4 linked regions of the Notamacropus eugenii genome follow. The protein of the gene in region 3 interacts with the protein of the main gene of each other region in a pairwise test. Links are inferred from orthologs where the notes say so. Each region holds a gene or a part of one and is shown on either strand. Other genes may lie near its edges. The genes, in order: SEC24C, MTMR9, MOS and HOMER3.

Evidence for each region.
Region 1: the proteins of MOS (region 3) and SEC24C interact in binary tests that used the Homo sapiens proteins (3 or more experiments, as listed by UniProt). The two-hybrid records come from large-scale screens. The link is inferred for Notamacropus eugenii from reciprocal best matches to the Homo sapiens genes MOS and SEC24C.
Region 2: the proteins of MOS (region 3) and MTMR9 interact in binary tests that used the Homo sapiens proteins (3 or more experiments, as listed by UniProt). The link is inferred for Notamacropus eugenii from reciprocal best matches to the Homo sapiens genes MOS and MTMR9.
Region 4: the proteins of MOS (region 3) and HOMER3 interact in binary tests that used the Homo sapiens proteins (3 or more experiments, as listed by UniProt). The two-hybrid records come from large-scale screens. The link is inferred for Notamacropus eugenii from reciprocal best matches to the Homo sapiens genes MOS and HOMER3.

Annotation. Positions count from the first base shown.
Region 1 is NC_092872.1:236,685,436-236,692,903, forward strand, and holds the start of SEC24C (protein transport protein Sec24C), read right to left. Parts: upstream 3,004-7,468; 5' UTR 2,914-3,003; intron 2,731-2,913; exon of another isoform or gene 2,609-2,730; intron 2,558-2,608; exon of another isoform or gene 1,960-2,557; intron 1,850-1,959; 5' UTR 1,822-1,849; coding exon 1,653-1,821; intron 1-1,652. Other genes in the region: SYNPO2L (synaptopodin 2-like protein), read left to right, coding at 4,568-4,723. UniProt on the Homo sapiens protein: Component of the coat protein complex II (COPII) which promotes the formation of transport vesicles from the endoplasmic reticulum (ER).
Region 2 is NC_092872.1:610,944,315-610,952,068, reverse strand, and holds the start of MTMR9 (myotubularin-related protein 9), read right to left. Parts: upstream 3,022-7,754; 5' UTR 2,877-3,021; coding exon 2,695-2,876; intron 2,544-2,694; exon of another isoform or gene 2,180-2,543; intron 1-2,179. UniProt on the Homo sapiens protein: Acts as an adapter for myotubularin-related phosphatases. Increases lipid phosphatase MTMR6 catalytic activity, specifically towards phosphatidylinositol 3,5-bisphosphate and MTMR6 binding affinity for phosphorylated phosphatidylinositols.
Region 3 is NC_092875.1:274,297,456-274,303,657, reverse strand, and holds MOS (proto-oncogene serine/threonine-protein kinase mos), read left to right. Parts: upstream 1-4,082; 5' UTR 4,083-4,340; coding exon 4,341-5,462; 3' UTR 5,463-5,691; downstream 5,692-6,202.
Region 4 is NC_092875.1:66,413,321-66,421,068, reverse strand, and holds the start of HOMER3 (homer protein homolog 3), read right to left. Parts: upstream 3,021-7,748; 5' UTR 2,876-3,020; intron 1,569-2,875; exon of another isoform or gene 1,438-1,568; intron 873-1,437; 5' UTR 806-872; intron 1-805. UniProt on the Homo sapiens protein: Postsynaptic density scaffolding protein. Binds and cross-links cytoplasmic regions of GRM1, GRM5, ITPR1, DNM3, RYR1, RYR2, SHANK1 and SHANK3.

The sequences.
Region 1 (7,468 bases), on a different chromosome or scaffold from region 3:
AGCTCTAACACATACTGTGTGACTGCACAAACTGCTTAAATTCTCCAGGCCTCAGTTTCCAACTCTATCAAATGAAGAATTTGGACTAGATGAACCCTTAGACCCTTCCAGATCTAAATCTATGATCCTATGAATCCATTTCTATCTCTAAGAAAAGAAATAACCTTCCCTCTACACCCTTAAGAAGTTCTAAGAGCAGCTCCACCAGTCACTCCCCCTTTCCCCATAAAGAAACTCCATATTCATTTCTTCTACCACTTCTGTTCTGCCTTCACAGTTAGCATCACAGAATTTAAGGGATGGTTAGGGCCTTGGAGATCATCTAATCTAATCTGCTCAAATAATAAAGAAACAATACTCAGTGAAATTAAAATGACTTGCCTAAGGTCATATATAGATTATTTGTAACCATCAGAGCTAGAGGTGAAACTCAAGTCTCCTTAATCCAGATCAGAATATTATTCCACAAAACTAGCCCAGTTTCTTTTGTTCTGCTCTCAGTGGAGGTAGAGACACCAGAAGAGACAAGATAAACCAGAAGCATCATGACATATTTAAAAGAACCTAGAAGTCAAGACCTGAGGGCTGGTTCCAGTGGTTCTATTTACTAGCGTTGAGACCAAATCATTTTAAACACTGTAAGCCTCATTTTTCTCATCTGGAAAACAGGGACACTTATTTTACCTACTTCACAGGGTTATCAGGAAAGCACTGGTGATATATTAGGAATTAGAAGCCTCAGGTGGACTCTGTCATGACCAAAGTCCCAAACCAGAACAGAGCAGGGACATATTACAAATCTGAGAACTTGTTTTTCACCTCAAGTCAGTCTCTACATTGCCAACTTTGAATTCCAATACTTTGTTCTCATTTTTCACATTTCTTCCACCAGTCCTCAGTGGTCTCACCTCATTGCCATTAAAAAAACTGAGTTTGGCACACACCAAAGATGTATTCTTTTCTCTAAAATGTTCCTCTGAGTTACTTGAAATAAGATACAGAATCCCATTTGCTCACACAATCAGTGCTACACTTCCTGAAGGAGAATTCTAATAAAACATGAACCCTATACTGAATGTCAGAGTGATTTTTCAAAGTCCTCCAAACACACATGGTACCCAAAAGACCAAGGTGCCTGAAATAAGGCTGTGACAGAAGCAAATGATCTCAGCAGCAATTTATAAATGGTCCACAAACTCAGATGTGTAAACTCTATCCTTTTTATCAAACATCCAGTTCCTCCAGTCCTTATACCTAGTCAATCCTGAAGAACCTAACCCAATCACCAGGAACAGTTCAGGAATTCTCAAGGTAGACCAAAATAGGACACAGAACAACAAGGCTCCTACCACCCAGTCTTGTAAAGCAACTGGGTATCTAGGTAGCCATGCCCCTTCCCCGGCTAGTTCTTGCCAGTGTGCCCAGACTGGAGGGAAGTCCAAGGAAATTAGAATACTACCTCATAGCGATACCTGTAAGCAGTGAATTATCAATACATACAACATGGAAGCTACACACCCATTAAATGTCACAAAGGTGAACAAGAACCAGAAATAGGAAAGAGGAGATGCTAAGTGGCACACATAAAGAAAGCTCCTCAATACGATGCTGCCCCCACCACCTCATAACTTACAAGTAACTCAAACACATACCTGGGGGAGGCAGTTGATGATAGCCTGGCATTGGACCATTGTAAGCTCCATAAGGACTAGGGGGGACCATAGGTCCTGGCTGCCCACCGTAGCTGGACTGATATCCAGCGTAGCCAGGCTGAGGCTGTCCATACGGCACCCCAGGGGGAGCTGGCTGATTGATATTCATCCTGAGTGCATCCCCAACCTGGAATCACCTGCAGAGCAGGAAAAAAGGGGGAAAGGGGATAGGCAAGATTCAGAAACTAGTTTTCCAAAGTTGCATCATATGGAAGTGACACTGGGCCCAAAGCAGGGCTGAGACTACCTAGATGTCTGCTCTGGAACAAAGTCCTCTGTGAGTCTCTGCTCTGAGTCAGGATACGGTTGGAGCCCCTACCCTGTCTCTCACTGTGCGAACAGTTCGCAGTAACCCCAATTTCCAAGTTGTCTGGTACTTCTCCAGCCTGGCTCACGCTGACACAATCAGTTCAGAAAGACTACTTACATCCACAATACAATTCAAGTAGATTCCTCTTCACCCCCCCCCAACCCAACCAGACTCATGATGCTTGAGAGATGATCACTTTGTCTCTGCGTTGCCAGTGCCCAGCGCAGAGCAAGGCTAAATAACGTCCAACGAACAACCCCACAGCATCTGCCCTGATGGTTTAGCAGCAGCAAGCCTAATCGCCGCCCCGCCTCCAACCCTCCTGCTCCGGGCAAGGGTCAGCAGGAGCGCTCCGGCCACCCCTGCGGCACGGGCTGTCAGCAGGAGAAAAGGGGAGGTCGGAGGCGGAGAGAGACGAGCCACACGCCAGGGGGGAGCCGGGTCCCACTCCCGAGGGGGCGGGGCGGCTTCCCCTGGACTCGGAAGGCAGAGAAAGAACCCGGAGGACCCAAGCGGCCTGACGGTGGGTCCGCAGCCGACTGCCGGGGCTAAAGGGTGGGAGGGTGGGCAGGCTGGATCGGATCACCTCTTCCGGTCAAAGAGAACTCCGGGCTGGGTGACCCCCACGCTGCAGACTCGGGGGACCAAAGGAGGCCGGCCCAGGTGGGGCACTCGGCCCGGGCTGAGGCAAAGGGAGTGAAGGCCGGTGGTGATGGGGTCCCGGCCCAGTACACTCCCGCCCGGCCGCAGCCCCGCCCCCGGGCTCCTCCCTTCCTCTGCGCACAGGGCTCGCTCGGGAAGGGCCCCCAGGACGTGGAGTCTGACTCGTCACTCCCCAGCCTCCTCTCGGCCCCCCTGTCCTCGACCTCTCCCCCGTCTCGAGGGCCTCACCCGGCTCCGGCTCCAGCGCCTGTCCCGGCTGCGCTCCCGGCGTCGCGACTCTCAGGCCCCACTTCCGGTTCCGAGCCGGCCGTCCTGTCGCCGCCGGAAGTGCCTCCCCCGCGCACGGAGGCCTCGGCCTCCGGAGCTGCCACGTCCTCACTAGGACGAGGCGAACGGACCCGGATGTTGCGCCTGCGCGGACACCGCCGCTGCCGCCTCCCTGTCATGGCGGCGGCGGAGGAAGCTTTGCTGTTTCTGACGTGTTTCCGCCTCTTGCGATGATGTTGTGTCAGGGCCGTGACATCCCGCCCCTTCCCCTAGCACCGCCCCCTCCACGGACCTAAAGTCTAAGCTTCGCCGGCGGTAGACTCGGCAGCTGAGATGGACGCCCCGTTAGCGCTCCTGTGACGTCTTCATGACCTCTCACCCCCCCACCCCCGAACCCAGGGAGACTCTGGCGCCGGGGACTTCAGCGTGGAGGCCCGACCCCCATACCCCGCGGAGGCTTTCTTTGGCCGAGCCCAAGCCTACGCGGCAGCGCCCCCTGTTGGTTGCTTGGATGCGTGCAGAAACACGTTGTATGTAGAATAGAAGCTCTTCGAGGACAGGCACCCCTCCCTTTCCTAACCACATCCCAGAGACCTAGTACGCTTATGGGCACATAGAAAGAGCCCGTAGATTAGCTAACTACGGACTCTCCTGTCAGGGAATTCCTATCTGAAATGGGATGTACTGTCCCCGATTCTGAAGAACTCATGTTTTGGGGACGCGCTGCTGGTGCTGCTGATGGCATCCGTGACCCTGATAATAAGGAAAACAAGAGAAACTGCGACTACCAGCTACAAAGACTAACAAGACGAGACCTGGTGGCTACAGTTACACATCAGAGAAACTTGCCGTCTCTCGTGAGCTGGCGTAGCCCAAACCCCTCAACGTATCCCTGAGAACTAAACCAGCAAACTGTCCTGAAACTGGAGCATTATCCCAAATCAGACTCTTGTTCACTAGTGCTAAAACATGGCCCATACAATCTGAGAAGAAGTTTTTGATAGCTATAAATCACACTCAGTCTTCATGCATAATCTCCAAACTGCATGGAATAAAAAGCTTTCAAAATACAGAGCCGAAGATGCTTTCAGCAAGTCTACAGAAGGATACATTGTAATTACTTTTATTCCATTACAGAAAGAAACAATTTTACACTGAACATAAAAAGAAAATGACAGGATAGTGACTTGTTCCAGGACAGTTTCTAGTTGAACTCCACTGACAAAGATAAAAAATATTTCTCAGGAATAATAATAATTTCTGTCTTATCTCCATAAAAAAAAGATGAGAACATATAATAAGTACGAGCAATATTTTTTATGTCCCACAGTATTCTCCCAGTGGTGCTGCAAGACACTGGGCGTATAATCGCCAAAGAATCAAAATTGTAGGAGATTCAAAGTACAATGTACAGAGACATGATTTTGGATACCACGTGTTAAGTGAGGACTAAAGCCTAGGACTAGGGAGATGTTAATGCTGTCATACCCTGCCCAGATTTCTACTAATTTGGAGTATTGTGTTGAGTTCTAGAAAGCACAATACAAGAATGACCTTGTCAAAACGAAGAGTAACCAAATAAACACAATAAAGATCCTCTAGCTTTAGAGACAATATGATCAGTTGGAAGAATCAGTTGGAATATATAGCCTGGAGAAGAAAAACTGGTGGAGACATCACCATTGTCATCATCATAACATATATAGTATGCAGTGTTTTAAGGTTTGCAAGCACTGAACTATTTCATTTGAGGCTCCAACACCTCTTTGAGGTAAGTGCTATTATGGTCCCCATTTTACAGATGAGGAAACTGGAGTTTAAGCAACTTGCCCAAGTTGACACAGCTGGGTATATGTCTGAGCTCAGATTTTACATCCAATATTCTTAACTCCCAGCACAGTGTTTTTTTACTTAGCTGCCATGTTATTTGTCTTCATGTATTTGAAGGACTGTATGTGGGAGAGGGATTTACTGTTCTACTTTGCCACAGAGGACAGATGTAGGAGCAGTAGACAGAAGTTACAAAGCAGATTTAAGTTCTCTGTAAAAAATATTTTCCTAATGTTTGGAGTTATCCAAAATGAGGTAGAATTGGTTGCCTCAGGAGGTAGTGAATTCTTTCTTACTAGAGGTTTTAAAAAGACTAGGTGAACCCTTCTTGATAGTGTAGAGAGGATTTCTGTACAAATGTAAGTTGGAGTAGGTAGTATCTGAGGTGCCTTCTAACTTGGAGCATCTGTAATTTTGTAGTGGCTTGCAGAGGTAGGTTATAGCAGAAGGCTTCTAGCACAGTGGATAGCTCCTCCATAGAAGATAATTCTAATAGTTGATACTCATATAGCACTTTTAAATTTTACAAAGAACTATATATAGGTTTTATCTTCATTATAACCCTATGGGTGGGAGGTACTTTAGGTATTATTTTTCCCATCTTAAAGGTGAGGAAACTGACTTAAAACATTAGTGAATTGCTTATTACATATCTAGTAAGTTAAAGTTGAAGATCAATCCCAGGTTCTGTCTTACTCTGGATGTAATGGTATTTCTACTATACAACATGAATTTCATTTTGCAGGAATTTAAAAGAGATCAGGAACAAAAATCGTGGATGATTTAAAGTGTGCATGGGTTGTGATCTGCACTGGTGGAGAGAATCTCTTATCACTGATCCATTAAAGAAACACATTTTTATAACCCTTTACAATTTACAAGCACTTTCCTCACAACAACCTTGTGAGGTAGGTAATATAAATGCTGTTGTTGTTTCATTTTTCCAAATAAGTGAACTGAGGCCCATGAAACATAGCTAGCATAAGACAAATAGATAATATAAATATATAAAAAAAATTTAGCAGCCTAATGTAAAATTCCTTGACTATTGATTATAAGAACACTTTAGCCAATCTTCTTTAATGGAAACTCTCCTTTTCTGGGGACCCCAAGCATTGAAGGGACAGCTGGACAGTAGCTACATCAAGCAAACAAGCATTTATTTAGTGACTATTGTGTGCCTAGTTTCAGAGGAGGGGTTGGGAGAATAGCTCAAGATTATGTGATATATTTATTTCATACGTATATGTGTATGTATGTGCATGCATATGTGTGTGTTTGTGTACATATATGCATATAGACACATAAACCCACGCACACACACTAAGTATTTTGGAGGTAAGAGAGTTACCGACAAGTTTGGGAATCAGGAAGGAACTCTTAAAGACACTTAAACTGAACTTCAAAAAAGGCTACAAGGTCCAAGAAGAGCATTTTAGGCATGGTCCATAGACCTGGAGGTGGATTTGGGATGTCATGTAGGAAAAACAGTATGTAGACCCTTTTAGCTGGAGTATGAGTACCTGGAAAAATAGATTGGAACTAGATTATGAAGGGATCTAAATGTCAAATACTCAAGTTTACATTTTATCATAAAAGCAGTGGGGAGCCAAAGAAATTTCTTGAATAAAGAAATGACAGGTCAGACCTGTACTTTAGGAATGGCATCACTTTGGCAGCCATGTGAAGTCTACATTGGAGAAAGAGACTTAATACGTAGAATGACTCCAAATCATTTACAAGCAAAGCCTCAAAGAAAAACACAAGCTTGGGCACAAACTCAACTAGAATTCGTGGAAGAGATGAAGCAAGAGTTTGGGGTTTTTTTAAAAGAGTTACAATGATTTTATGAATGAAATAAGAGTTCAAGAAAAAAATTGGAAAAGAACTTAGAGCTATGAAAATCTATCTTACACTACAGAAAAGCAGGGGAGAAAGGGATAAGAGGGGTGAGGGGAGGATGATAAGAGGGAGGGCAAATGGGAGGAGGGAGTAATTAGAAGTAAACACTTTTGGGGAAGGACAAGATCAAAAGAGAGAATAGAATAAATGGGGGGCAGGATAGGATAGGGGGAAATATAGTTAGTGTTTCACAACATGACTTTTATGGAAGTCTTTTGCATAACTACATATGTATAACCTATATTGAATTGCTTGTCTTCTCGGTGGGGATAGGTGGGGAGGGAGGAAGGGAGAGAAGTTGGAACTCAAAGTTTTCAAAACAAGTATTAAAAATTGTTTTTACATGCAACTGGAAAATAAGAAATACAGGTAATGAGGTATAGAAATCTGTCTTGCCCTACAAGAAAATGGAGGAGATGGGAATAAGGGAAGGGATGGGTAAAAAAAAAAAAGAACTTAGAGCTATGAAAAACTTTGAAAGAGAAATAATAACTTAGTGCAAGAGGTACAGAATGTTTCCCAAGTAATAGACTCCCTGAAAATTAGAATGGATCGAGTAGAAATTAATGACTCATCATAACAAGAAATATCAAAACAAAGTAAAAAAAAAAAGACTGAAAAATAGAAGGAAGTCTAAGATATCTCATAATAAAAACAACTAACCTAGAAAACATATCTAAGAGAGATAATTTAATAATCAGTGGACTACTTGAAAACTATCACTAACAAAGAAAAAGAGCTGAGACTTTATAGTTCAAGAAAGTATAAAAGAAAATTACCTAGA
Region 2 (7,754 bases), on a different chromosome or scaffold from region 3:
TGGAAGATCTTCATCAGTGGAAGGTGTTTCCACACAGATGAAATCACAGATCTAGAGCAAAACAAAAAAAGGGAAACGACAATGTCACTTAGGCAAATTAATGGAATTCAAATACAACCATGATAAAAGAATCTGACAGACATAAAGTTAGACCTCTTATCAAATGTAAAAAATAACAAGGGACATGGGGGAAAATGTTTCCATTGTGATGGTTTGGGGCTTATGATTCTTTTTTATTTCTTTCTGAATGGAAGGCTGGTCGAAGAAAAACTAAAGGCATTCAGAGAGGCAAAGTAATAAGAATAGCCATGACAGTAAAGAGAAAGGGAGGATTGAAATAAGGCTGTGTGAGTTGTGTACATTGTCTCCTCTACTGAAATATAAGCTGAAGAGCTTGTGTGGGTGCAGAAAAAGTAGAAAGTCTTTATATCTCTTCTTTGCAAACACCACAGTGCCTAGCCCTAACACACAGACACACAGGCACTCAATTTTGGGGCAAGTGATAAATATTTGAGGTGAAGAACCAAAAAGGCCAGGGACAAAAGTTACAACCATTTATATTGGGAAACAAGGTCTACTGAGTAACCACTTTACTAATCTGAAGGAAAAGAGGCCTTCCTAAGTTCTCCCACCAGAAATTTCCCCATTAGATATTTGTCTAAGGCACCGCCTTTCTAAGAATCCTGGTTTAAAACCTAAGTGTTCCCTGTATGTGGGACACATCAGGCTGCTGTCAAACATTTAAATTTCCTCCCAGACAGCTAGTCAGTATTAGTTGTGCACACTGCTTCCTTTCTCTGAGCTTCAGTTTCCTCATCTGCAAAATGAAGGAGTTGGGGTCCTTCTCACCTCCAACATTCTACAAGTCTAATTTCTGAGTCCAAGAGGGGACAATTTTAAAGACAGCTAGGCTGAAGACTGCAAAAGTGAGAGGTGACTTGGACCTAAATTGTCTCTATTTCACAATTCTGCCCAGGGCAGAACCTATTAGGGAAGACCTATTTCTTTCAGTGAAAGCTGAAGTAGTTGACTATAAAGACCATATTATCTCACCTAATGATAGAGTGACAAACAAAGTGAGCAAAGGCTAGAAGATGGGAAATGGATTGCCCTGTGTAAAGAACAAGAAAGCAATTCGGAATAACTGTAGATGGTATGTGCAGAGTAGTTAGATACCACAGGTCTAGAAAAGGCAGCCAGGATACAAAGTTAAAAGCCAAAGGACTTTACTGATCCTACAGAGAAAAAAGAGCCTCTGGAGTTTAGGAAAGGGAAGTGACAAAGTGCTTTAGGAATAGTATTTCAGTGGCTGTGTAGAGCAGAGGTATCAAATGAGTGAACCAGATTAAAATGTAATTGGGAAATGTTGGGATTGGGAATTGGAAAAATTGGGAAATAAAAATACAACATAAACAATGTTCACTTATGGTTTTCTAGATCAATCAATTTCTATTGAGTTTGAAGAGGGGAAAGACTGAAGAAAGGAGAAACTGATCAGGAGGCTACCAAGAATCCAGAAGATATAGGGCCTGAACTAGTAACAGAGAGAAGGGAACAGATGTGAAAGGTTGTGGAGATGGAAATAAGAATTGGCACCTAACTGGATAAATGGAGGAAGGCACAGTGAGGGGTCAAGGATGTCTCAGATTTTAAACTGGGATGACCGGAAGAGTGGTGGTGTCATTGAGAGAAATGAGAAAGTTCATTAAAGACTGGAGGATGGGAAGGAGGAAAAATAATGATAATGTTTTGGCTGAGTTTGAGATGTCTATGGATTATCCAGTCCCAAATGTCCAGTAGGGAGTTGCTGATGTGAGACTGAAGTCCAATGAAGGAGTTAGAGCTAGTTGTATACTGGAGACTGGTCAAGCTAGAAAGGATAATTGAACCTCCTGGAGTTGATAAGCTGACCAAGATAAAAGAAAAGAGGATCCAGGACAAAAAAGGGAAGTGGTAGGCATAGTTAATATCAACTAGCTATCCAGGTGGAAATTTAAAGCTATAAAACTAAAAATATAAACATTACGCCTTGGGGGCATAAAAGGCTAGTCAAGTGGTAGGATGAGCAAGATAACCCAACACAAGAGACAGAGGATGGCTCAGACAGGTCTTAGAACCGAAAGAGCCAAAGCTCCAGTCTCACTCAGCTGTCAAAAGCAGTGTACAGATCCTACCTTACCGTAGACATGTATGCGAGGAAGCATTATTATCTCAATTTTACAACAGGTAAAGACACCTGGTGTATGATCCCAAACGATTCAAGTTAACAAAGAACCACTTGAAGCTATGCCTCGGAGTAACGGATGGCTGGGACAGCAGGTGGCCTAGGACGAGGCTCCCCTCTTGGGCCACTACTCCTGCTTCCCCCCTTTCCTACAATCCAGATCCTCAGGAGGGTCTTCAGGAAGGCAGAAGCTGCTTTGGAGACAGGGGGAAAACTACTCCCTCGTTTCTTAAGCATTCTCCGTCTGTTCCAGGCTGGAGATTAAAACACATTAAGGAACTCTTACTAAACGCCGACTCAGGGCTCAGCCCCGGGTTAAACCAGGGAATACAAAGAGAGGGACAATAGACCCGGGCAGGAGTGTGGGGGGCTCACAAAGGGCCGCCCGGACCAGCCTGCCCCGCCCCTGACCCTGGTAACGGACGAGGCAAGCGAGGCCCGCAGGGGCCGTCGTTCCGAGCTGGGCTCACCGCTTCTCGATGGAGTCGATGTTGGAGTGGAGCAGCCACAGCTCCTCGGTGTTATCCTGCCGGGAGGACAGGATCAGGTGATGGCCCGTCAGGCACAGCGTGCCTTCCACGGCCGGGTAGAAGGGCCGGTGCAGCACCACGTTGTCCACCCGCGGAGTCTTGATCAGCTCCGCGAACTCCATCTCGGCCCGGGGCCCGGGGCAGGCGCGGCGGGGCCTGCTCCGTCCTCTCTCCCCTGCTTTCTCAAGCCCCCGGCGGCCGGCCCCGCGGGCCTGGTCCGGAGGGTCCCACCTCCCGCACCAAGCTCAAGCCGGGGTCTCAAGCGGCCACCAGCTTGCTTCCCCCGGCAACCCCGTCTGAGGGGACCCGGGGGAGGGGAGGGTCCTCTTCCGGGGGGCTGGGAAGGAGCCGGGATCTCAAGGCCCGCACATCTCCTGGCCGCTGTCCACTCCGGGCGGAAGTAGCTGACGCCCAGCACCCTCGGTCGACTCCGGGAGGAAGTAGTTGACGCTCAGAGCCCTCCGTCGACTCCGGGCGGAAGTTGTGAAACCAGGTTTGTGAGTCTCGTGACCGGAAACGGTGCCCTCAGAGTTAAATTCCTACCCATCTCATGCCCGATGGGAGGAAGTAAGTGGGAAGTCTTGTCCCTGCCACCCTGACTCCCCTGAGCCTCAGCAGCCCCGGAATAACGGGGCCGCCCACTTGAGGCCGCCCACGGTGCGAAGCTCGGGCGGTGACGCCAACGGTCGTATCGCGCGTGATTGAAACATGCGCCTGCGGATTGGAGGGCTTAAATGTCGTCTGCTCCAACCCTAGAAACTGAAGCCCAGAGAGGACTGATGCGGTACAGTGAAAAAGAGAATAACTTCCTGTAGGGGGCATCAGGAGCTGGCATTAAGTGCGCCGGACCTGGGTTCGGCGAGACCTGAGTTCCAAAGCTAGCAGGGAGACCCTGGGCAAAGAGCTTCACTCTCATTTTCCCAACCGTAAAATGAGAATCCTAAGAGTAACCACCCCGCAGGGTTGGATAAAAAAAAAAAAAAAATGAAAACAGTAGGCGTTTAATACATGCTTCTTCCCACCCCTCCCCCACCCCTGCCCTTCGTATTAAAGAGGTTGCACGTGAGCCTTGTCAATGTCATTCGCGTGCTTTTTTTTTATTCTTGATTTGAAAAAGTGTCATGAATTCCGCACGTCCTCTTCCAGTTGCTCAAATTAAATTGCCTTTCTAGGTTACTCTGGATTCTTTTGTTTGTATTTCACAATTTCTACTTCTGGTTTTTTCATCAAAAATGGTTGAAAATCGAGTCCAATGAAGCCCCATCCCTCCCCACTCTCCTCCAGGAGTATGTTCAGCTTTGCTGGGTAAATTATTCTCTGTTGTGACCCCATCTCTTTTGTCTTTTAGAATGCTGTATCCCACTATTCCTTCTTGTTGCCAGGTCTTGTACAATTCTGCTTACCTTTCCTTGGTACAAGTATTTCTTTCTGGATGCTTGCAACTATTTTTTTTGGCAACAACATTGCCAAAGTTCTGGAACTTTTTTTTTTTTAGGATAACTTTAAGGATTCTTTCTAACTTTATTTTGCCCCCTGCTTCCAAGAGCTCTGAGTGGTTTTCATTTCTTTAAATACAGGATCTAGCTTTTAAAAAGAAATGATTTTCAAAGAGTCAAATAATTCTTAAATTCTTTTTCTTGACCTATTTCCCAAGTCGGTTGTTTTTCAAATCACTTGAAAAATATCAGATACTTTACATTTTCTTCTTTTTCCCCCCAACTTTTTGATTTTGTTCTAATATTTTTTGCTGTTTTGTGGAGTCATTGATTTCTGTTTGGTCCATTGGTCAATCCTAGTTTTCAGGGAGTCCATTTTTTGGAGAAGGTTTACCATTTTCTTTTTTAAGTTATTTATTTTCTTTTCAATTCTTTCCTTCAGACCTTTTTATTTTACTTGTATGTCTTTCTTTCTTTTAGATATTTGCATTATCATTTTGGAAAATTCATTTTTCTCTTTGAGTCTTTATTTGCATACTTTGTGTTGTGACTTTCTCTTTACAAGTTTGATAGGAGAGCATCTCTGGATCTATAGTAATTTTTTATATTCTATCTCTCTCTTCTTTGATCTGTGTCCTTTTTGGTTCATTCATCTGTCCAACTTCTGTACTTGAATTAGAGCTTTGTGCAAGAGTCATCCTCTCTTCCCTTCTGCTTTTGGGTGAGGTTGTAGGCTCTGTTTGTTGTTCCCTTATGTTCCCTGGATCCTGTGCTGTCCTCTACCACCTGGGCTTAGAGCCTCCTCCCCCCCCCCCCCCCCCATCTTTAGATTTCAGAGATCTTTTGGATTCTGGATCTTTTGGACCCAATTTGGAAAAGCAGAATACAATGCTAGGGGTCCATGGAGGTCTGAGTATCAGTATCATACCCATCACTGCCACGCCTGATGACTTTCAAGGTTCCTGCTCTTTTCTGACCCTCCATGGGCTTTCTGACAACTCAAAGCTTTCTTGGGAGGGTTTCCTCTTTTTTTGCTGGCTTTGCACACAGTACTTTCACTGGCAACACTGGAAGGCCACCGGCTTGTTTGCCTCTGCTGGTACTGGTTTTGCTAATGTTCCCCTTTCCTATTACCTATGAGTTTCTGGATGGCTATTTGTATAGTTTTGAGAGAATAAGTCACTTATTGTAGTTTCTCATTAGATTTTATAATCATTTTTTCAGTTTGGTGCAAATTTCAGGTTTTTGCTAGAAAAGATATATGGGAGCTAGGCAGTCTTCCTCAGTTCAGGCAGCCATCTGCTAGTTCCTGGCAGCCTCAAATCTGGTTGATAATCCCTATCACAAACACATATACATTTTTTTGCCTTTTTACTGCTTTTTCCCTTCTGGCCAAATTTAAACAAGTAGAAACATTTTTGCTGGTTTCTCTCTGGAGAAGAACATATCTGTTTGGTCTCACCTAAAATGGGCCTCATGTGGAAGTGACTTTGTTATCATGATTCATGGGAGCATTTTGAACTTAGAATCTGGAGAGCTAGGATGGAGTTCTAGCTCTGATTCTGGGGGACCTTGGGTGAATTAGTTAATCTCTCTGAGTTTCATTTTCCTCAATGGTAAAGTTGAAGGGGGTTGGAAAAGCTCTTTTCTAAGGATACTTTCAGGAGCCTGTTACCTGGAGAGGCAAGATATCCGATCTTCAAAGGATTCAAACTTCAGAGTGATTGCATTACTCTCAGAGGTGTCAGGGAGAGACTCAGCAAGACTGAGGTTGGCTAATGGATTTTATCATTTTGTTGAATAGCTGAACCAGTGATTATAGGTTATAGGGCATCATTGCTTATTAAACATTGTACCCTGTGTTAAGGTCTGCCTGTGTTACTTATCAGAAGAAATCGTATATTCTATAATTATGGGTTTTATACATATATGTGTACTCTTAAGTACCTGAACCCAAAGAACAAAGTGCTTTGCTTTGTTTTGTTTGGAATTAAGGCTCTCCCTTCCTATCTCTTCCTTTTGCCTCCCATGGCTTCCCTCAAATCTCAGCTCATCTCTGACCTTGTACAAGACACTTTTTCTGTGCTGTTCTCCCTCACTGCTAGCGTCTTCACCTCCAATTTACCTTATATACATATCCTGAATGTACATAGTTGTTTATATAATGTCTCCTCCTTTGGAATGTAAACGTCTCCAGGGGAGGAACTATTTTCGTGTCATCATTTATTACAGTGGCTGACTCATGGAAAGTTCTTAATAAATACTTGGTTTATTGTTGACTTAAAATTTTGTGTTCCAGGTAGCCCCAGAGTACTGCTCCAGGATTTCCCTGAAGGACTGTAAAATGTGCCCAAAGGACCTCCTACTGGCTACATAGGTATAATTGCCATAGTTTGCTGCATGCCAAACAATGCTAAACTCTTGCTTGTTCTCCTGTTCTCTAACCCAAGCTAGTGCTTTATCTAGGACAAGGCACATTCATTCTGTAAAAATAAACAGGTAGGTTAAATAATTAATTTTAAAATTACCTTTTAGGTTTTGTTTCTATAGAGCATTTTATCTCTAGCTATGAAATTGATTCTTAGAGGCCTCAAATAATCAGTACCCTAGCTTGCTGTTTCAGAGAAGAAGAAAACAATGGGAGGGATGGAACAACAGATTTTTTTTTTAGTTGTTTTCAAAACAAGGAGTGTTTGGGAGAAGAGACTCTAAGAAGGGAAAATAGAGGAGTAAGTACAATAGGTAGATAGATGCTCTATTGTGAGAAGGAAGCATCATAGAAAGAACATTCAACTTGAAAGGAGTAAGAAAACCTGCCTTAGCAATATGACATTTGGCAAATCACTTGATCTCTCTCTGAGCTCCAGTTGCCTCATCTATAAAGGAGTCACAATATATCTTACTTACCTAATGGTATTGAGGATTAAATCAGATGACATCTGCAATGTGCTTTGTAACAATAAAATGTCACACAAATGTAATAGGCTAGCATCATCATTATAATATTCAGATCAGAGAAACTTTCTGTAGTGCTTTTTAATTTTGTGATTTTTTTTAAACTGAAAGCTTGTCCAAAGTGAGGGATGATGATTATGATGATGACAATAGCATACAAAGGAGAATTGAATTCAAGTCGACAAACATTTATTAAGCAACAAATGTGAGTACTATTCTGTTCTGTTGTCATGGAGCTTACAATCTGGTCTTTGTTAGGCTAGAATTAACAACATTATGCTTTCCATCCAGCTTGCCAAGATGTTGCTGTACTTAATTCAAGAGAATTATATCTACTATAGACTGAGGCCAAGCAAATGAACACTTGGGGTCCAGGTCTACGGGGAGTATTAATAACAATTTACATTCATATACTCTATGGACAGTAGGTGGCAGCTCAGCCCATGGCTGGCCGGGCAGTCAGCCCTTTTCTGTTGACTATCCTTGCCCTGAAACGACAGGCACAGCTTGGCAAACTGCACAAGGTAAAGTGATTCAGAGGGCTATGATGAAGAGAAATCTAGTCCAAGGTCTATACAATGGAAGATCAGCCCACATGAGGGAATGGGG
Region 3 (6,202 bases):
AGATTTTATCTATCAATGACATTTCCAAAGAAGCCACCCCCCCTCATATCCTTTAAGTGGGGCCACAATCTAGGAACATTTCAAGTGTCGTAAGCCTTGAAGGAACACTGCTGTCATTTCTTTCAGTGGAGTAACTTTTAGAAACCTGTCCCCACCCTGATGGGAACATAAAGTTTAGTTACAGTTAGCTGTAGCCCTATCCCTGAACAGACTCTTCCCCTCATTAGTGCTTTTTTTAACCAATCTATGTATGTATGGCTTCTAGTCCCTTCACCTTGTTAGTTGCTTTCCTATTTCAGGTTGTTAATGTTCCTCTTAAAATGTGCTTCCCATCACTGGAAACCTACCTCCTCTCAAGCCTTCCCAACTACCTCAGCTTTAAAAAATAATGCCAGCTCACAGTTCAATTTTTTTTTTACATTTTCCCTCAGAACTATCCTCTCAGGTAAGTAGTGAACATTCCCATTTTAGAGATAAAAAAATGATTTGGAGAAGTTAATCGATTTGCCTAGTGACCCTGGAAATAAGTATTAGAATTGGGACCCAAATCCCAAGTCTCCTTCTACTAAACCAGTAGTTAAACTTAAATAGAAATGAGGCTACTGAAGGCACAAAGGATCCCTGTCTGTTGTGTGTTTACTTAGAAAGCCACATATTAATGTTATCTACGTTTGATTGACTTTATTAATTTTGCTAAATAGTCCCTAATTACATTTTAATCTGGTTCTGGACATAACAAGTGTTGTGGAATGGCTGCCTTTTTGATGATCTCTGCTTTGCTGTGCGTATACTACTCTGTAATATCTTTGTAATTATAAGGGGCAGCTAGGAGGTGCAGTGGATGGAGTGCCGGGCCTGGAGTCAGGATGATGTAAATTCAAATCCTGTATCAGACACCTAGATGCTCTATGACCCTGGGCAAGTCTCTTACTCCTGTCTGCTTCAGTTCCTCATCTGTGAAATGAGCCGAAGGAAATGGCAAACCACTCCAGCATCTTTGCCAAGAAAACCCCCAATGGGGTCACAGAAAATTGAGCAGGACCGAAACAAACAGCTCATCAACAGCAAATATATACATACATATATATATGTATATATACATATAAACCCACACACATATATACACATATTTACATGCATAGATACATACATATACACACATATATGTGTACATATGTATACACACATATATTCTCATTTTCCAAACTAAACTGTAAGCTCAAAGACAAAGGCAAGGATTGTTTATACTTTTTTTGTTTGTTTCCTCTACAATATTTAATACATCTTTCATATAAGGAGGGGGAATGTGCCTGTGATTTCCCTGTTATAGGGAACCTAACAGTGAGGAAACCCCCTCTACCAATGCACTTTGGTGCCTGTTCTGAAACTTACAAGTTGAGACTTTTGCCTAGAACTCTGGGAAGCTAAATGAATTGACTACTCAGGTGTCACAGAGGCAGTACTTTTCAGAGGCTGTACTTGAATACCCATCTTTGAGGCTCAGGTTAGTTCTTTATCCACTTTTGCACCTTGTTTATGATAGATTCTTAATCAATATTTGTTGAATGGATGAACCATCTAAAATTCATGACAATTCCTGACCTGCCTTTCAGCCAGGCACTACTTTAAACTAAGTAGAGGTGGATGGTTTTTGGGTGGGAAGGGAGCATTACACCAAGGATTTTAAAGCATTTCGTATCTGTTAATCTGCTAATGTTCACAATACTCCTGAGAACTCAATAACAAATTTTAAAAATTCTTTAGTGAAGCTCCTCCTAGTCACACCCAACTTCTCCATTCTGATTCCACTGTGGAGCCTTCTTTTTTTAATTGAGTAAAACGTTTGAAAAGTGTCCTTAGTTAGAACTGCCAGTGAGGAAGGCAGAATAGTGGTTTAAGTACTTAACTTAGATACTTACTGACCTGTGTTAGGTTGAGCAAAGAATATACTTAATTTTTGAGTCTCCATTTCTCCATGGGGACAATAATATATTACCATGTTATACCTGTGTCATGTAGTATTTTGTTTTAATTGGACCTGCAATTTTATCTGTATAAGGATGTCCCAGTGAAAAACTTCCTTTACTAATTGCAGACCAGTACTGTCTCTGTGAGTTGGAGGTCTTAGAAAGTTCCCTGGGGCATCAAAGGAGGAAGTGATTTGCTTACACCCACAAAACAACCCTTGTGGCCAGCTTTCTATCCTATGCTGCTTCTCAAGAAAATGCTTTGCACAACTTAAAATGATATACAAACACAAATTGTTATTACTATTACAAAGCAGAGACCTAAGGTAAACCAATTTTTCAAATAAGCAAATACTATTTATTGGCATGCACTTATACTTTATAATATGTGTGGTATTTGAAAAAAAATAACTGCATTTCTTTTTAAATAATCTATGATTTTACTAATTTGGGTGAAATCTCCTTATATCAATTAGATTTTTACTGTATTGAATTATCACCATTGTTTTGAATAAGTGGTGAGTTTAAGACCCATGGAAGTATTGTGATTTGTCTAAATCCACATAATAAGTTAGGAGCACACTCAAGCACAGAAATCACACTATAGAGCTGGGAGGACTCCCAAGTTAGTTGTGTCTGACTCCTTGTAACCCCATTTGAGGTTTTCTTGACAAAGATACTGGAGCATTTACCATCTTTCTCCAGCTCATTTTACTGTTGAGGAAACTGAGGCAAACAGGGTTAAAGGACTTTCCCAAAGTCACACAGCTATTAAGTATGTGAGGCCAGATTTGAATTCAGAAAGTTGAGCCTTCCTAATTCCATGCCTGGCATTCTATCAACTGCCCAACCAAGGTGTTTATTCTTATTCAGTTCAACAACCATTTAATGAGGGGCTCCTATTTTTTACACCATGAAATCACAGATCCTTGATATGTTGACTATGCACTACTACTATGTTAGGCTCTTCAGTAATATAAGGCAAGAGACCCTGAGCCCACCCTTGGGACTTTACCACAAAGTGGAAACACACACACACAACTATAATCCAAAGTAAAATTATTTAGGATTGGGATAGGTATAAATAAAGTTCTAGAAGAGGTCAGGAAAATAAGGGATTATTCTCCCATCTAGGGGGATGAAAGAAGGCTTCATGAAAGATGAATTCAAATACATCACAGACATGGAAATATAAATGCTCACCATAAACTTGTGCCCTTACAATACACATAAATACTCCAAGCAGGCTGGCCAAGTGACCTAACTCAGAAACAGAAAGTGGAGTTTTGGTTCCAAATCTAGGCTCTGATTATCTCCATAAGTTATGTTTTCCAAAACTGAGATAATACTGAACTTGGTGCTTTCTTCATAAAGCAGGCATAAAAAATTTTCCAATTATTCAGTAACAATAACTTAATTACTTGTTTTATGTGTGAGAGAATTGTGTAAATGAATGGTTTCTAATACCTTGTATTGTACTTCATGCATTTGCTCTACATAAGCATCAGAGATAATGCAGACTTTTTTAAACTTAAGTTTTCTTCTGCTTTCTACTGTATATTTAGCACTATTTGAGGCTATGACTATGATTTGATTCTTTATTCTTTCCCCTTTTGTTGCCAATTTTACTACAAGACTTCTGTAACTCATTTGTCTAGAATCTCTTGCTAGTGAACTCACTGGGTGGGCTGAATTGCTATGGTAGGTTAGAAGGATTGTAAGGAATTCCTTCTATATGTTGCTAAGAAGTATTGCTAATTTCCTCTCAATGCTGAATGGAATGTCAAAGCCTTAACTTTTTCCTGATACGTAAGGGAGAGAGCCTTGACTTATGGGTGTCACTGCTTTTGTTTATATCAATTACATTAACATTGCAATTCCTTACTGCTGAATATTGCACCTAATTGTTCCTTTAATAAGTTAAACAAATGTGTGCTGTTCTTATTTCAACTATTTCTGCCAGTAACTGCTGGCAGTTATTTAACGCAGCTGGAGACAAACGCTGACAATCACTTTAGCCTGAAAAGTGTGAAATAATTTCATTTCATTGTTGTGGTCTATGTAGTCTAAGAATGGATTTCAGCTGATGACACTTGGGGGAAAAACTTCCTTTTAATGAGGGGCATAGTAGAAAAGGGAACACGTTATAAGGTGAGCTGTAGGGCATATGCCATTGTTTAGGTGGTGAACTCAGGATTTTTTTAAAATAGAACTTGTGTTACGCGTTTGAGATCAATGCTTTAATCTGAAAGTGATTGGTTTTGCCCTCATTCAGAGACTGATCAAATCCCATCAGTAACAGATGCAGCTTATTTTGGGGGGGTTGGAGGGGTGGGAGAGGGGAGATGAAGGAAGAGGATAAAAGAGGCAGTGATGGATCTGAGTGAGCTGCCATTCTTTTTTCCTCTCTTTCTGCATCCAGACGCGCTGGTCCCCAGCCTCGAGTGCCCGATGCCTTCCCCAGTTCCCCTGACCCGCTTCTTTCCCAGAGAGTTCTCTCCCTCGGTGGACTTGCGGCCCTGCAGCAGCCCCCTGGAGCTCCCGGGGAGCGGAGGGAAGCTCTTTTTAGAGGGCACCCCCTCCCCAAGGGCTCGGCGGCTGCCCCAGAGGCTGGCCTGGTGCTCCATTGACTGGGAGCAGATACGCTTCCTGCAGAAGCTGGGGACCGGGGGGTTTGGCTCTGTCTATAAGGGCACCTACCGGGGCCTCACCGTGGCGATAAAGCAAGTGAAGAGGAGCAGTAAGAACCAGCTAGCTTCCAGACAGAGCTTCTGGGCCGAGCTCAACGTGGCCAGGCTGCGCCACAAGAATGTGGTGCGCGTCGTGGCCGCCAGCACTTGCACTCCTGCGGGCTACAACAGCGTGGGCACCATCATCATGGAGTACGGTGGCCACACGACCCTGCACGACGCCATCTACGGAGCCAGCTCTGTACCAGACGACCCGGAGCCCCTGGACGTGGGGAGATGCCTCCAGTATTCCTTGGACGTGGTCAACGGCCTGCTCTTTCTCCACTCTCAAGGCATCGTCCACCTGGATCTCAAGCCAGCCAACATTTTGATCGGGGAGCGAGAAGTCTGCAAAATTGGGGACTTTGGGTGTTCGCAGAGGATAGAAAATCTGCCGGGCTTGAGCGCCCGCCACTGCCACCTGGGCGGCACATACACACACCGCGCCCCGGAGATTCTCAAAGGAGAGGCAGTGACCGGCAAAGCAGACATCTATTCTTTTGCCATCACGCTCTGGCAAATGGTCACAAAGGAAGTGCCCTATTCGGGTGACCACCAATACATACTGTATGCGGTGGTGGCCTATAACCTCCGGCCACCACTCACATCCTCTGTCTTCACTGACTCGCTACCTGGCCAAAGACTGGAACACATTATCCGATGCTGCTGGACCGCTGACACGCTGGTCAGACCCAGCGCAGACTTGCTCCTGGGTGATCTTAATTCCTTGCACGCTTACTGGGCAGCCTTGAATTCTAGAAGTTAAGTCAACAAAAAGCTTTTCTGTGCGTCTGCTTATTTCTGTGTTTTCTCTTTCTCTTCACTTGCTTCCATGTGGAGAGTTGGAAATGTTTGGTGTTTTTTTCAATGTATTTCTTGATTGCAAGAAATTTTAGAAAATAAAGTGACGTGAACTTTTGTGGGTCTCATTTAAATGAGATTTACTACAGAGTTCCAAGTTCTGTAATTAAAACCTACTTCTAATTAGAAACTAACCTCTGAGCATTATGTCATTTTGAACTGGCTTTCTGCTGCCGCTTTAGTTTCAAAGCTCTTTAGGATTGAATACATACAAACTTACAAGTTGTGAAGCTGACAAAATTTGCTTTTATGAGATGGAACCCAGTTGCAGACATTCCGCAGCCAACTCAAATGCAGGCTGTTTTTGAAGAAATGCATTATGCATATATTCATGTAGTACTTCATTTTGCGCTTATGCCTTATCCATTAAATCCACACTGGGTCAGTTTCTGATAGATGTTCTTTTTCCCACAGTAGACTGGAACAGGTATCTTAAAAAATGTTTGACCTGAGAAAATCAAGGCACAGAGCTGAGTGACTTTTCTTGAGTCACATTCTTATTTGGTAAAACTGAGACTAGAATTTGTTTTCTAATTTCTAACTATTAGTCTCATGTTTTAAACTTCTGAGAAATTTATCATCTAAGAAATAGTTAATAGCCAACATTTACACAGCATTTGCGATGTGCCAGGCACTGTGCTAAGC
Region 4 (7,748 bases), about 210 Mb from region 3:
GTAGATTTTGGGGTCAGTATCTCAATTTGAAAGCTGCCTCTGCTACTAATTACTAATACGACCTTGAATGAGCCCCCAAGAGGCCTCAGTTCCTTATTCTGTAAGTTTAGATAGTTGGGCTGGATGACGCTGTTGTCACTCCCTAAAACGTAAGGCCTCCAACCCAGGTCCTGGAGACCAAGGAGACTGCCCCAGGACAAAGTTCATCCTGCCCCCTACACCACATCCCCCCCCCCACAACACTGACTAACACTTGGTTGTTCATGGATCCTCCTTCAGCCAACCAACACACAAGCCCCACAGGCTGGCAGGGGAGGGAGGAAAAGTGAGGCAGAGCCTAGGGGTGGTCCATGAAGTATTCCTCCCTTCCCCTAACTACAGGGCAGGGATGGAGAGAGACCAAAAGCTCTGAGGGCCCTGTGGGGCCTAGTGAAGCAGTAAAGACAGCTAGCTGGCCTAATCACTTTCATTCAACACTTATAAAACCCTTCCTTATACCTCAGACATTCTACAATGCTGATGGGGCCCTTGAACCTGTACTATAGGTTTTATAGGTCCTGAGCAGAAAGATACCACAGAAACTCCCTCATTCAACCCCCTCATTTTATGGAGAAGGAAATAGACCCCTGAGATATTAAGCAGTTGGTCAAGGTCACACAGGTGATAAGGCATATACAAAGAACTCAGTCCCGGGTCCTGATCTTAAATCCAGCATTCTCCTTATTACCAGTTTTCCTGCCGGAACCCAGTTTGGTAATACCACCTCCCCCACCCCCAGCACACACATATACACATGCAAACACACCCACAAACCTGCCGCCAGGGTCTAGGCAGGAGAGAGAGGGGCTTAAATTGGCTAAAGCCTGTGGGTCCTGTGAAGAGAATGATCCCAAGGGAGTCTGGGGTATTTCAGCCTGATTGAGGATTCCCTTCACCCAAACCAGACCCTCTTTTCCCTTCCCTGCCTTCCCTCCCTCCTTGCAGCTGTGCTGGTCACATGGGCACAGCCTGAAACCGGACCCCCTTCCGCCCCCACCTTGGGGGGCAGCCAACCCCCATCCTTGTATGTTGCCACCTCCAACCCCCACCCCTTCCTGCTTTCTGCTTCCTGTCAAGGTTTCCCAGAAGGAAATACTGAACTGAGACCCCTGTCTATCCTACTCCCCCTTCCTTCAGGCTCCCTGGGAGCTTTCCCACCCCTGGTGTTCCCAAATGAATCACAAAGCCAGGCTCTTCCCCATCTGGGCTCCCCATCTCCCCTCTCCCCCACCAGTGCTCCTGGCAGGGCTGGTGAAGTTGGCTGCTGAGCAGGGTGAGGGGAGCTATCCCAAAGGGCAGCAAGCCCCATCCCCCTCTCCCAGCTGGCTTGAATCCACTCCCAGGACTCTCTTTGGCTGTTCAGTTGTTTTGAAAAAGTTCTTTGGGGTCAAAAGTCAGATCAGCTGAACTGGGACAGAAAAAACACATATAGAAATCAAGAGACCTAGCTGCTAGCTCTAGCTCTTCCAGTCACTTGTTGTACGGCTCTGGGTGAGTTCCTTCCTTTCTCTGGGCCTCAGTTTCCCTTTCTGTAAAATCAGGGTGTTGGATGAGAGTCCCTTCCAGATCAGGCATTCTGCAGTTTGATACCCTCAACCACAAAGAAGGTAGGCAAGGGGGAGATCTAGGGGTCTACTCATTCCAAACTCCTAGAGTTTTGACACAATGTACCAGGGGGTCAGGGAGCTAAAATCCCCCAAGAGCCCACAACCCAGTATGGAAAGAGAGTTCATGCTGGGAGATCTGATTACCCTGGGCTGGGGTCAAGCTCACAGCTTCCAGGAGCCCCTGGAGTGAAACCCTTTTTCTCAAGGCTCAGGGTCATAAGGTCCTAGATATTGGGGCACCCAGTTTCCTCCTCTCCTGACACCTGGGCTGGGCACAGAGGGGGTGGTGCCCACAGTGGAGTTGGCAAGTTGAGGCATACAACTCGCCCTGGGCAGAGGCGTTCTCAAAGATGGGGGAGGGAAGGCTGCTTCTCGTAGTCCCCCCACCCTGAATCGCCCCCAATCCAACGTGCCCAGGCTTAGGACGAGAAAGTGTCTCAGAACAGGGGGCCTCATGCTGCTTTGGTTCCCCCTTTGGCTTCTTACTTCCCCTACTGTAACGGGGACTCCCCCTTGCTTCCTAAGGTTTTCCTCTAATCTTTAGCCATAGAACTGGGGACCCTTATTCAAACTGCCCCTCCATGTTCTCCCTTATCTTTTAATCCTGGGACTGGGAACTCTTCTTCTTCCCGAGGCCCCCCTATCTTCTCTCTTATCTGCAACCCCGTGGCTGGGAACCCTGCCTCTCTCACCTTCTTCTTCACCTCCAGCTCTGTAGCTGGGGACTTTGACTCTGCCTGGGTCCCCCCTATTTTCTTCCTCATCTCCCCCGTGACTAGGGATCCTTACTCTGGGTCCCCCTATCTTCTTCCTCATTTTTAATCCCGGGGCTGGGAGCCTTTACTGTTCCCAAGGCACCCCCCCTCCCGCGGTCTTCTCCTTCATCTCCAGCCCTGGAGCTAGAGACCTTGACTCTGCCAGGGTCCCTCACCTCCCTCATCTCCAGCCTCGAAGCTAGATAAGGAGGATGGGAGGGGGCGCCTCTCCCACCTCGGTCTCCCCAAGCCTCTCCCTGCTCCCCAGCTCCCAGGAAGGGCTGCGCCCCCTCTGTATCCGCGCCGGGCTGGGCTGAGAAGAGCCAGGCTGGTCCCTGGGGCAGCCAATGCCCCGCGCTCCCCACCCCCCACCCCCGCGCGCCTCCAGACCCGGGCTGCCCCCGGCGCCCCAGCCCGCGGCACGAAGGCGCAAACTTTGGGGAACGCCGAGGGTACCCCAGTAGGCTGGCTCACCCGCTAGCTGCCCCTGCCCGTGCTGCCCGGACCTCCCGCTGGCCAGGCTCCCGTGCGCTCCCGGCACCGCGTCGTTCCAACTTCGGGCCGGGGCTCCGAGCGCGCTGCGCCCCCGGCGGGCGGCCTCAGCGCCGCGCCCTGCCCCGCGCCGCCGCCGCCTCCGCCGCCGCCGCCGCCCCGCAGTCTTTGTCTTCCCGGAGCGCCCGCCCCAGCCCCAGCTCCAGCCCCAGCCCCAGCTCCAGCTCCCCAACGCCTCCGCCTCCGCCCGCGGCCGCCAGCCCCATAGCGGTCCTGGCCCCGCGCTGCCCCCCCGACTTTATCTGTCTGCTCTCGGGCCCGCTCAGCGGCGCCACCTGCAGGACACCCGAGCCCCGCCCCGTGGGGACCGGTCACCTCGTGGTCAAGGCTGGCTCCGCGTGGCGCGGCGTAGCGGGCAGCCAGGGGCGCCGCGAGGGCGAGGAGGAGGTGCGGAGGCGGCGCCTCCCGGCTCCAGCACATGCCACAAAGACAGCCACAGCGATACATTGTATCGAGAGAGCCGCGGGGAAACACTTACGCAGTGCCGGCCACATAGTAGGCGCGTCGTGTTTACTGGCTGACTGAGAAAGAGACCCTGCCCCGAACCCTTCAGTCCCAACTTTAAAGCTCCTACTGGGTGCTTGGAGCTCAGGAGGCTACTGAACATGTGGGTGTCCTAGGGTACCCCTCAGCTGTAGACAGTGCCATGCCCGCTTTTCAAAGCGCTCCCTCTCTCTCTCTCTCTCTCTCTCTCTCTCTCTCTCTCTCTCTCTCTCTCCTCTCTCTCCTCTCTTTCTCTCCTCTCTCTCCTCTCTTTCTCTTTCTCTCTCTCCTCACACTTCAGTGTCACCGGAGGCCCACGAACCCCCTCTCTCCTTTATCTAGGCTTTACCAGGACACAGAATTGAAACTCCACCCTCCGGCCCTTAATCGCACTGAATCCTGTGTCCCTTCTCAGCTTCCTGTATGTCAGTATCAACTCCCTTACCCAGACTGCCAGTTCCCTGGGAAAGGGCCCAGAAGAGCTTTGGCTTTGGAGTTGGAGGACCTCAATTCAAATTCCTTATATTCCTGATGCTTTCTGGGTATCAGGTTCCCCCTCTGTAAAATGTTCCTATCATATTAGAAGGTCTCCTCAGATCCCTTGTAGCTCACTCTTAACAATTTTTCCAACTTCCTTTCCTCCACAGTATGGCCACTCTGGGCTGGGCTGGTTGGGGCCTCTCTGACTGTATTTTGGAGGTCCCCTTCCCTCCCCCCAAGATCCTGTGCCTTTCCTCCTTCCTGCTGCTGCTTAATGCTTTCCTTGCTCCTTTAATTTTTAACAAATTTATTTAACAACTGTGACATACAAGTGGAGGCCCTGCCCTCTTGGGCTCACAGCCTCAGAGGGAGGAGAAACCTAATACGAGAGATAAAGTGGACTGCAAGTTAAGGAGGAGTGGTCTGCTGGAAAGAGAGTTGGGTTCAGAAGCAGAACTGGGCAGGCCCTGTGGAGGCCACTGAGTGACTGTGGGCAAGTCATTTACCTTCTCTGAACCCCCATTAGTGAGGGTCGGGGTGTCTACCTTCCATATCCCAGATGAGATGATGTATAGAAAGCTCACTGAAAACCCTGAAGGGCTACAGCTCTTAGGTTAGAAGTAATTTATTAGGACTTTGGCCCAATAAAGAGGAGGGTTCCCTAGTGGGTTGTAATTGGGCCCCCTGCCCCCACACCCCTTCAGACTCATTTCTGTTTTTTCTGCTCTCCCAGAACTACAATGACTTCTTTTCTCCTTATAGATTATTAATACCATTCTTTTTTTCCTGACAAGCAAAATGCTTCGGGGAAAAGAGCTGCAGAAGGGACTCATAAGGAAGGTTTATAGACTTATGGTGTACTGCAAAGCATAACGGACTTGAGTCTACAGGATCTGGATTCAAATCCTGACTGCCACTTACTGCTTCTGTCATCTTAGACAAGTCACTTCAGGGTTGGACTAGGTCCCTTCCCTAGGGAAGGCCTGATCACAATCCCTTGGTGAGGTCACTGTGGACTAAGGAGACCCTAAGGAGACCCCTTCTGGGTGCTAGTTTTCCTCTTCTGTAAAATGAGGGGACAGTCTGTTCCACCTCTGTCACAGGGTTGACACGGGCAGATTAAGCATGACAAAGGCTGTAGATTTGAGCTATGTTGTGTGCCCTGGAAAATGCTAGCCACTATCTCTAAGCAAAAATTCTACTGAGCAGGGCCTCTCATCACTTTTTAATGGGTTTTGATGAAATCTGGTCCGTGGGCAGAGGTTACAGAGATATGTGATTGCATTGAGAGAGGCCCACGGTTCACAGAAGCCTCTAATTTTAATTTGTTTACAAGGGGTATTTTTAATTCTTGACAGTGTGGCTTTTGGGGAAGATCATTTTAAATTTGCCCTCCATGTTTGCCTTCCCTGGTCTCCGTATGACACATTGCTGAAATCAGGTTCTTGTCCTGATTCCATCTGTAAGGGACTTGAGTAAATCAGTGGCCTTCTCTGGCCCTCAGCTTTCCCTTCTGTGAAACAAGCACATTCAATAAAGGATCTCCAAGGTCCTTTTGGGTTCTGCTGCTAATATAATTACTTTAAGATATCTGGTCTGATCTAAGCCTTTCTCCCTCTCCCTACACACCTGATCTATTGCTAACTTTTGTCTAGTCTACTCACACAAGACATCTCCCATCTGGCCTCTCCACTCAGTCACTGCCCTGCTTCAGACACTCATCACCTCTCACCAACAGTATGCCAAAATCTGTCTTCTGTGTTCTTTGTTCAAGGATGCCATCCAACTCTGACTTACAGTAATCAAAAACACTGTCACAAGTCTGTGAGACATGAATTACAACTGGAAAATATGTCAACTCAAAAAGACAAGCTCAGGGGACCCCTTAATACCCATTACAACCAAGGCCCAATCCTGCCCCCAAATCCCATCCTTAAAAACTCTTCACTTGATCCTTCCATCCCCTCCAGCAATCACCTATTCAAGGGCCAGGACCCTGTGACCCTGATGAAACATGTGGCCCTCTAGGTCCTCAAGTGAGGCCCTTTGACTAAATCCAAACTTCATGAACTTCCTTTTATTAAGGGGATTTGCTCTGTGAAGTCTGGATACAAAGGGCCTCACTTGAAGACCTAGAGAACCACATGTGACCCCCAGGCTGAAGTTTCCCCAGCCTTGGCCTTTGATCCCTTTCAAAGCCAAACTCCTATAAAGTTGTGCCCACTCCTTTGTTGGCCCTTTGGGATCTGGTTTATAACATGTCGATGTAAACTGCTCTCTCCAAAGTCACTTAATGATCACTTATTTGTTGAATTCGATAGTCTTTCCTCAAGCCTCACCCTTGTCTCCCTTCTCCCAGCCAGTGACTCTACTGACCACCGTTTCCTCTTTGGGGATCCTTTTCCTACTACCTCTTGCCCCTCCACTACTCCTCATTCCCATCCGCCCCACCCCTCCCATGGCGGTGTCCTCTGTCTCTGCACAGCTCCCGGGGGTCTGCTCTCATCTTTATGTCAAAGAATCCGAGGTCTTTATATCCAGAATTATTCTTACTCTTAAGTATCACCAAAAGTGGAACAGCCAGATCCAGCTGGATCAGAGAATCAGAGAATCTGCACCAGAAGGGCCTTCAGAGGCTCTGTGGTCCAACCCCCTCACTTTACGGAAGAAGAAACCCACTCAGAGAGGTTGTGCTTTGTGCTTTGTCACACAGCTCTGAGTGCCAGAGGTGAGAATGAGGCTAGGTCTTCCTAACTCCCAGCCCAGAACTCACTAGCATTCCAAACTCGACATGTCCAAAAGGGAACTCATCATCTCTCCTCCCGCCTCTGCCTGATTTACCCCCTTCCTTCCTGACCGTCACCCAGGTTCACATCCTCAGTCTTCTCCCTGGCCTCTCCACATCCACTTGTTAAGTTTTGTGCAGTCTACTCACACAAGCCACCGGCCTCTCCATGCAAGCCGCCATCACCTCTCACCTGGACTGTGCCCAAAGCCTCCTGACTCTTTGCTCCCAGGCTCTTTCCTCGCCAGACGGTCCATTCCCGCCAGCAGCCACGTGGTGATTCATTCAGCATAGGTAAGACTAGGTCACTCCTAGTTTGGGGACTTCCGATTGCCTAGAGCATTAAATACAAAGTGCTCTGATTGGCTCTTAAAATACTGCCCAATCTGCCCCCATCTGCCTGATTGGGCTTCTTGGACGTGACATGCCATGTCTCATCCACAAACGTTTGCACGAACCACCCACCCTGCCCTCCTCACCTCTGCCTCAGTCAGTCCTTAGCTTCCTTTTAACTTTGCTCAGGGGCCACCACCTCCTCCAGGAAGCCTGCGCTAATCTCCTCTCCACTGCTATTGCTTTCCCCTGCCCCCACCCTGGGAAATTACTTTGGATATTTTTTTAATTTAATTTTATTGCATTAATCAATAAACAAATTATTTATTAAGAGCCTACTATGTGCCTGGCACTGTAGGTTCCAAGGCTATTAAAAAAAAGGGTGAAATGAAATAATGTTCCACACTCTCAAGGAATTTATATTCTATGTACATGGTCCTCCTGCCCCACCCCCCACCTGCCAGAGTATAAATTCCTTCATGGCAGGGACCTTAGTATTGCTTTTGTATTTTTATTAGGTATGAAGGAAGAAGGAAGGAGGAAAGGGAGAGAGGAAGGAAGCAAGGAAAGAAGGAGGGAAGGAAGGAAGGAAGGAAGGAAGGAAGGAAGGAAGGAAGGAAGGAAGGAAGGAAGGAAAAGAATCAGGAAGGAAGAAAGGAATAAAGGAGGAAGGAAGGGAGGGAGGGAGGGAGGAAGAAAGGAAGAAGAGAAAAA